Daphnia pulex: one gene and its partner. The main gene of each other region encodes a partner of the protein of the gene in region 2 in a complex. Links are inferred from orthologs where the notes say so. Each region holds a gene or a part of one and is shown on either strand. Other genes may lie near its edges.

What was found.
Region 1: bromodomain-containing protein 1-like (region 2) and inhibitor of growth protein 4-like share a complex: the UniProt entries of both Drosophila melanogaster proteins name them as parts of the enok complex. The link is inferred for Daphnia pulex from reciprocal best matches to the Drosophila melanogaster genes Br140 and Ing5.

What each region holds. Positions count from the first base shown.
Region 1 is NC_060018.1:8,154,771-8,158,352, reverse strand, and holds inhibitor of growth protein 4-like, read left to right. Parts: upstream 1-1,372; 5' UTR 1,373-1,612; coding exon 1,613-1,649; intron 1,650-1,761; coding exon 1,762-2,000; intron 2,001-2,054; coding exon 2,055-2,172; intron 2,173-2,240; coding exon 2,241-2,330; intron 2,331-2,393; coding exon 2,394-2,596; intron 2,597-2,658; coding exon 2,659-2,760; 3' UTR 2,761-2,877; downstream 2,878-3,582. Other genes in the region: uncharacterized protein LOC124210402, read left to right, coding at 3,250-3,255, 3,347-3,582. UniProt on the Drosophila melanogaster protein: Component of the Enok complex which has a histone H3 acetyltransferase activity.
Region 2 is NC_060023.1:7,792,957-7,797,294, forward strand, and holds the start of bromodomain-containing protein 1-like, read left to right. Parts: upstream 1-1,340; 5' UTR 1,341-1,517; coding exon 1,518-2,247; intron 2,248-2,320; coding exon 2,321-2,616; intron 2,617-2,684; coding exon 2,685-2,837; intron 2,838-2,899; coding exon 2,900-3,216; intron 3,217-3,278; coding exon 3,279-4,338. Other genes in the region: potential E3 ubiquitin-protein ligase ariadne-2-like, read left to right, coding at 1-86, 155-382, 449-664, 732-887. UniProt on the Drosophila melanogaster protein: Scaffold subunit of the histone acetyltransferase (HAT) Enok complex which has histone H3 acetyltransferase activity.

The DNA of each region.
Region 1 (3,582 bases), on a different chromosome or scaffold from region 2:
CATTTAAAAAAATGCCTCAGTGGGTTCCCATATTTTTGATGTTTTTTCCTTCAACCCGGGCAGTGGCCCGGGATTTCAAGGCCTGGGTTACAGCCCTTCAGAAGAATCATGGATCTCTCCATACCAAGGGCTATGGTCCGTGACGTGAAAGCCCGGGACATGTCACGGGAAAAATCCTGTCCCGTATGGAGAGACTCCATGCCCTTCTACATGCCTTATGTATGGAAGAATAGGGTTGTGGTCCGGAGGTATTTGGGCGGTTTTTTTACATGGGTTGCCTAGATGGTTTTTTTTTAAACATGGGTTTGAGCAGGTTGGGCCAATAGCGTAAATGGGTCCGCCCCACGGGTCACAAAAAATTTAGTCCGGGTCACGGCCCGGATAAAAATCTTAACAAACTTTTTTTTACCCTAAATTTCCCTAAATTTCTTAATTATCTTCTTCTTCCAACAGTTACACTTCAATGCTTTCTTTTGAACACCCCTGAACGCCCTATTCTACCACTTATCGTACTTTTCATTCAATGCGGTGGCAATATTTTTAGGTCTTTCTTGAGGCCGCAGGCATTTTGAATAACGAGCTTCTCTATGTGACTACTAGATGGCGCCACCACTCGGGTTGGCCCGCGGACCCGGCGGTTCGACCCGTCGCCCGCCCCGTACAAAAAATGCCACGGTGGGCTGATATTATTTTGAGGTTTTTTTTCTTTAATTCGGGCTGTGTCCCGGGCCACAGCCCAGGAAGAATGAAGAATGGGATTATGGGTAGGGCTATGGCCCGGACGTTTTTTAGCGGGTTTTTTTTAAATGGGTTTTTTAGATGGGTTTTTCTTCTTCCGCGGGTTGGAGCGGGTTGGGCCAACAGAGTAAATGGGTTTGGCCCAGGCCGACCCATGGGTCAAAAAATGTTTACCGGCCGGGTAACGGCCCGGGTAAAAAATCGGGTCAAACACACTTTTTTTTTTACAAACTTTAAAAAATTCCCTAAATTTCTTAATTATCTTCTTCTTCCAACAGTGAGACGTCAATTCTGTCTTCTGTTCACCCCTGAACGCCCTTTTCTACCACTAATCCTACTTTTCATGCTACGAAATTCTCGTAGAGCATTTGGCGGCAATCTTTTTAGGTCTTTCTTGAGGCCGCAGGCATAGAGAATAACGAGCTTCTCTATGTTACTACTAGATGGCGCCACCGCTGGGTTGGCCCGCGGACTCGGGGGTTCAACCCGTCGCCCGCCCCGTTAAAAAAAATGCCTCGGTGGGTCGAGTCGGGTTGGGTTTTTTTTCGTTCAGCCCGGGCGGTGGCCCGGGTTTTCATCGCCCGGGCCACAGCCCTAATTATGGGAATGGGTTTAAACGCGCAATGGTCAGAAGAGGCCTCAAATAGAAAAACATACGGGTCACTAGCAAGTAGCCAACTAGCAAGTTAAAGCTTTTTTTGTTTACGTTGATCCAGAGGAGGGAAAGAAGCCTAGCTGATCTAGCAGTTGATTTGATAATCGAGTACCAAGTGAACGAAAGAACAAATTAAGTTGCAATCTGAGCCATTCCAAATTCAAGCCAAAGATTTGCTTCCTTCTGAAAATTTGAGTTTTGACTTTATAACTTCTGAAAATGACAAGTGCAGTTTACCTTGAGCACTACTTGGACAGTAAGTCTGAAAGTTTCTACCAATAATTTTATCGATGGCCACCGGTCGTTGCTAAGATATCAAAAAATGAAAGCAAAAATGCACTTTGTATTGAAAAATTATCAAAATTTAGGTTTAGAATCGTTGCCTATTGAACTACAGAGAAACTTTTCTCTAATGAGAGATTTGGACAATCGAGCACAATCCTTGATGAAAGAAATTGATTCCCATGCTGAAGACTACCTAAAAGTAGTCTCTCAAACAAGTCCAGAAAAAAGAAAAGAACAAATGGAAAGGATTCAGAAGCTTTTCAATAAAGCAAAAGAATATGGAGATGATAAAGTCCAACTAGCCATTCAGACTTATGAATTGGTTTGATATTTACTCAATTTATAGTTATGAACTAATTCTATTTGGTCTTATTAGGTTGACAAGCACATCAGGCGTCTTGACTCTGATCTGGCGAGATTTGAAACAGAAATTAAAGAGAAATCGTCTGTTGCAACACTCTCAGCAGAAGAGGATACTCCACCTGCAGTCAAAAGTAAATCAGTAAAGTAAAAAATCAATAATTCAATTTATTCTATCATAACTTTTTCAATCACAATATAGAAGACAAAAAGAAAATGGTGGAAAAAGTTGAAAAGAAAAAGAAAGGAAACAAAGCAAATATTAGCACTGCCTGTGAAGCTCCTGTTAAAGGTTTAAATCCATACAATTTAATTATACTTAATAATCTTGATTAAAAAACCTTGATATGAATAGTTGATGAAGGCCCAGCTCGTAAAAAATCTAGTAAGAAGAACGTTGCTGTTGCAACGACTCCAGAAAGCTCCTCCTCTTTTGGACTCTCTACCATCGGGCATTCGGCTGATGTTCTTGATATGCCGGTAGATCCGAACGAACCCACTTACTGCCTTTGCCACCAGGTTTCTTATGGAGAAATGATTGGCTGCGATAATCCTGACGTAAATCATGAAAACAGTTTTTATGCACTCCAAACTTGTAATTTGCTTTTTGCTATTTATAGTGTCCAATCGAATGGTTTCACTTTGCCTGTGTCAGCCTAACAACCAAACCGAAGGGGAAATGGTTCTGCCCGAAATGTTCCGCCGATCGGAAAAAGAAGTGAAGACTGAAAATTAGTTGTTGTATCTCATTGTCATTGCTCATTCGAAAATAATCCACATGCCATTATCGGTTTTTTAAATAAACTTATTGCTGCTCCGTTTAACGAGGTAATTTAAAATCAGGTCTTTGTAATTTTTTCTCCCTTTATTCAATGGTTTTAGACTTTTTATCGAGGAATGGTTATGCAAGACGTCTGTGTCACATTGACCTTGAATCCACATTGTTATTTGTTGTCTTAAGTCGTAACAAGATACTTAATCCCGTTGTTTCCATTTAACAACCGCTGCATCGAATTCTCAAGTACACGTAATTGTTAAGCGAATTAGAACATTAAGATCTCTTCGATTTTGGTTCTACTAGATGGGAAAGCATGAATGTCTGGGTCAAAACTAGGTATAAAATAAGTTCGACAGCATCCACTAGATCCACATTCTGGTTTGAGCTCTCTTCCTGTCAACAGTGTCCGCACTAGCTCTCCAGTCCATCAAGAATGAAGGTATGTCCCGTAAATTAAGAAAGTTTATGTCGTATATATATGTCACTCATGTTTTGTTTTTTTTTTCTTTTTTTCTTTATTTGTGTTGCAGTATTTGATCTTGGCTGTCATTTTTTGCCAAGTTCTTTGTCTGCTAGCAGACGGTGAATTCGACGAAAATGTTGCTGATCTACAGGATGGTTTTGATGAATCGCAAACATTGGCTCGGCCTCGTCACTTCAGAATGGAAAAGTACCAACGGCATCCGTGGTGGATTCGCCCACGATCGAGAAGAAAGAAGAACAAGAAAGTTAATAGAAGCGGTTTGCCTAAACGGATGCAGTCTCA
Region 2 (4,338 bases):
CCACCGATTGTGAAACGATTCGACATTGGCTGACCAAATGTGCAGATGATAGCGAAACTGCCAACTACATCTCTGCTCATACTAAGGTAAGGATAACTCAAATTTTCATTTAAACGAAAATAATGCTCTTAACGGTCCATCTGCTTGTTACTAGGTGTGTCCCAAGTGCCAAATTTGTATAGAAAAGAATGGAGGATGTAACCACATGCAATGTTATGGCTGTAAACATGACTTTTGCTGGATGTGTCTGGGTGATTGGAAGACTCACGGATCAGAATATTACCGTTGTTCACGCTATGAGGAAAATCCCAACGTAGCCAATGAGTCTTCTCACGCTCGGGCCAAAGAAGCCTTGAAAAAATATCTCCATTACTTTGAAAGAGTAAGTTACTAGAAATTGGCCGATCAAAACTTTGTACTTTTATTGCTATTTTCGAATATTTTTTAGTGGGAGAATCATGCAAAGAGTTTACGATTGGAGGAGCAAACATTGCAACGGATCCGTGAGCGTATTCAGTGTAAAGTCATGACCGGCACAGATGGTACTTGGATTGATTGGCAGTGTTTATTGGATGCTGCCGCCTTGTTGGCACGCTGTAGGTATACTCTTCAGTATACTTACCCTTACGCTTACTACATGGATGCAGGTCCTCGAAAGGAATTGGTGAGTGATTCGGAAAACGTTAATGCCTTTTTACCAATATTAACGTTCCCACGTCTGTTTATGTTAGTTCGAGTACCAACAGGCTCAGTTGGAAGCCGAAATAGAAAATCTATCGTGGAAAGTGGAACGGGCCGAAACGACCGATAGAGGCGATCTGGGCATTCAAATGGACGTTTGCGAGAAACGGCGCACCACGCTATTGCAAGATTTCCTAGAGTCGTGAAATATTTGCTGGTTAGCAAATGGATTGAATAGGATTTGAAAATTTTTACCAACGCGCCTGTAACTACGGTCGATAGGTTTTTGGCTTTTACCTGTCGCTTTAGATAGGAATCGAAATTGCGATTGTCTATTGTCATTTGATATTTTTCGTCCTATACGTTTATCAGTTGTCCTCAACGTTTTTTGTTTTTCGTTTTTTTTTACTGCGAAATTTTCTTTTTAGTTTTGTTTCGTATTCCCATAGTAACAAATGAATAAATTGCATCACTGAAACGTTTACTATTTCCCTTTTTCTTATATTGTCTGAGCAATTTTTTATTAAATAAGGTGCTGGATACTCCGTTACCCTTGTTTATTAAAAAAAATTATTCAGCCCCATAAATTTTGAAATTTTTTTTTTTATCTTCCATAATTTAAGTGCCTAAGGGGTTTCTTTTCAAAAACACTTCTGTAACGAGTTGTAAAACGTTGGCGCCAGGTGTCTGGCCAGTTGTCATTTAGTGCGTGGTCTGAAAAACGACAACAAAAATGGACTAAATGTAAAACTTTGTTTAATATAATTGGTTTCTTGAAATAGAGAAAAAACAGTGTGTGAAACAATATAACATACTTGTTATTGTATTGTAATAAAATGGGTCTCGACTTTGACATTCGTGAGTTTCTTAACCACATCAGAGCAACTAAACCGCCGTATGAATGCCCCGCGAAAGACTGCGGCAAAATCTACAAAAGTTTCGCGGGCATTCAATTCCACTTGTTTAATTTCAATCATGAAAATCCTGGTAGTTCTTTACCTTCATCAGAATCACCACAGCAGGTTTTGACTTTTGCAGAAGCCCAGAAGATTGTTGAACTTGAAATTGATAGCAAACTTCAAAGGATAAACATTTTTGACTCCATAAGCTTTGTGGGCAAAGAGGACTATGAGAATGAAGTGCCTATGAAAAATGAAGAAACACCAAGCCAAGACTATGCCAAAACTCCAACAAGTAAAAGTCACACTCCAAAACATCTGCAGAAAAAGACCCCGAAGCCAGTTGAACCAGTGGTTCGCAAAGAAGAAAAAGTCTCCCCTCCTAAGCTGCCGGAGGCATCATTTTCCATCATCGAAACATGGAGCCAGCCAGATGCCCCAGAAAGACCAAAGTCTTACTATCGCTTCATTGAGAAATCTCCTGATGAAATGGAAGATGAAGTGGAATTTGATATGGACGAAGATGATTTTACTTGGCTAGAGTTGATAAACAAACAAAGAAGATTTGAAAACCTTTCTGAAGTAAACCCAGAATCATTTGAATTGCTAATGGATCGACTGGAAAAAGAGTCTTACTTTCAAATGCAAAGTTCTGGGAAAGATCAAGGTTTTTATTTCTATTTTTCTTTATTAAGTCTGCAAAATAAAGATGTCTAATTTGAGAAAAAATATCTAACTAGGACCACCTATCGATGAGGACGCTGAATGTTGCATATGCATGGATGGAGAATGCCAAAACAGCAATGTGATCCTCTTCTGTGACATGTGTAATCTCGCTGTCCACCAAGAATGCTATGGTGTCCCGTATATTCCTGAGGGCCAATGGCTTTGTCGTCGATGTCTACAGTCACCTTCACGAGCGGTTGATTGTGCTTTGTGTCCAAATCGAGGAGGTGCTTTCAAACAAACGGATGATAACCGATGGGCTCATGTAGTTTGCGCTCTGTGGATACCAGAAGTCTGCTTTGCTAATACAGTAATAACGTTCAATCTTCTCATATCATTGCAGAGATTACTAAGCATTTTATTATTATTATTATTCAGGTTTTCCTTGAACCGATCGACAGCATACAAAACATTCCTGCCGCTCGTTGGAAATTGACGTGTTACATTTGTAAGCAACGAGGAGCTGGATCTTGCATTCAGTGTCATAGGGCCAACTGTTACACGGCGTTCCATGTCACTTGTGCGCAGCAGGTATTGTTACGACTGTAATTAAAGCATATTTATCAAAATACTTACTTGAACTCTTCTAACAGGCTGGGTTACACATGAAAATTGACACGGCCAAAGACTCACCAAGCAGTGGACCCAATATCAGCATCCGTAAAGCGGCCTACTGCGATGCTCACACACCAGCCGATTCTGATTCAAAGCCATTGGTCGGTGATCACGGAATAGGTGAGGTTATTCGCAAAGCGCAGTCGAAAGCTGCTTTCCGCGAGAAAATGCGAAAGGCTCGTAAAATCCTGGCAGAGAAACGTTCTGCAGCTCCTATTATTTCCATCCCCACTATACCTCCTGAACGCGTCCAGGAAATCGCTTCTTCCGTTCCCCAAATTCAAGGGAAAATTCGGTATTTATATTATTGTCCTACCGCAAAATAAATTTCTGTACTAATGATATTGTTTGATCTAGATTTATCCAAAGATTGATTGCCTACTGGACTCTGAAACGGCAGTCCAGGAATGGTGTGCCTCTTTTACGTCGTCTTCAAACAAGCCATCCTTCGCGTAGGCCAGCATCTTCAGCGGCAACGGGCTCTGGGTCTGGATCAGGATTGGGCGGTGATCAGATTGTTCAGCCTGACGATCTCTTAGGCCAACTGCGTTATTTTCAACGACTTCGTCAGGATTTGGAACGAGCTCGGCTGTTATGCGAGTTGATTCGCAAAAGAGAGAAAACGAAGCGAGAATTGATGCGGATTAAAGAGAAGGAATTGGAACTCCAAATCTATCCGTTGCAGTATCTAATGCGACGTTTGTTACAAACTCTGAAGGAGCGTGATAACAACGACATTTTTGCCGATCCGGTTGACATCAGCCAAGTCCCCGACTATCTCGATTTTATACAACAACCGATGGACTTTTCGACAATGCAGAACAAGTTGGACGCTGGGCAATATCCAACGCTGGAAGCTTTCGAAAAAGATTTCAACCTGATGATCCACAATTGCACTGTCTATAATGCACAGCACACCATGTATTATAAGCAAGCAATCAAGCTCAAAGAAGGTGCTCAGGTTCTATTTAAACAACTTCGAAAGGATTTGGAAACATTAGTCATCAGCAACAACAATTGCGACAGTAGCAGCAACTTAACTCCACTGCCACCGTCGGAAATAAGTCAACCTGAAAGCAAAGTCGAAGAAATCGATAAGTACGTCTCGGAAAAGTATCGTGAATCTGATACCCTTGAACAGCAGCTTTCGAAACTCGAAGAATTCCTGCGTAAAGCTCAACAAATGCCAACTGGACCCCTCAAAGTTAAACGAATCCGAATTTTGAGAAACGAATTGGCCAAAGTTCGTAGGAAATTGTCTTTGCAAGCTGGCGGGAGAGCGGCTGCTACCCGGAGCAGCAGTAGCAGTCCATCGAAATCACGACCTGAAAATGAAACACGTGATGAAGGCAGCAGTGACTCGGATTCGAGCGGAAGTAGTAGCAGCGGGAGTAGCAGCAGCAGCAGCAGCAGTAGC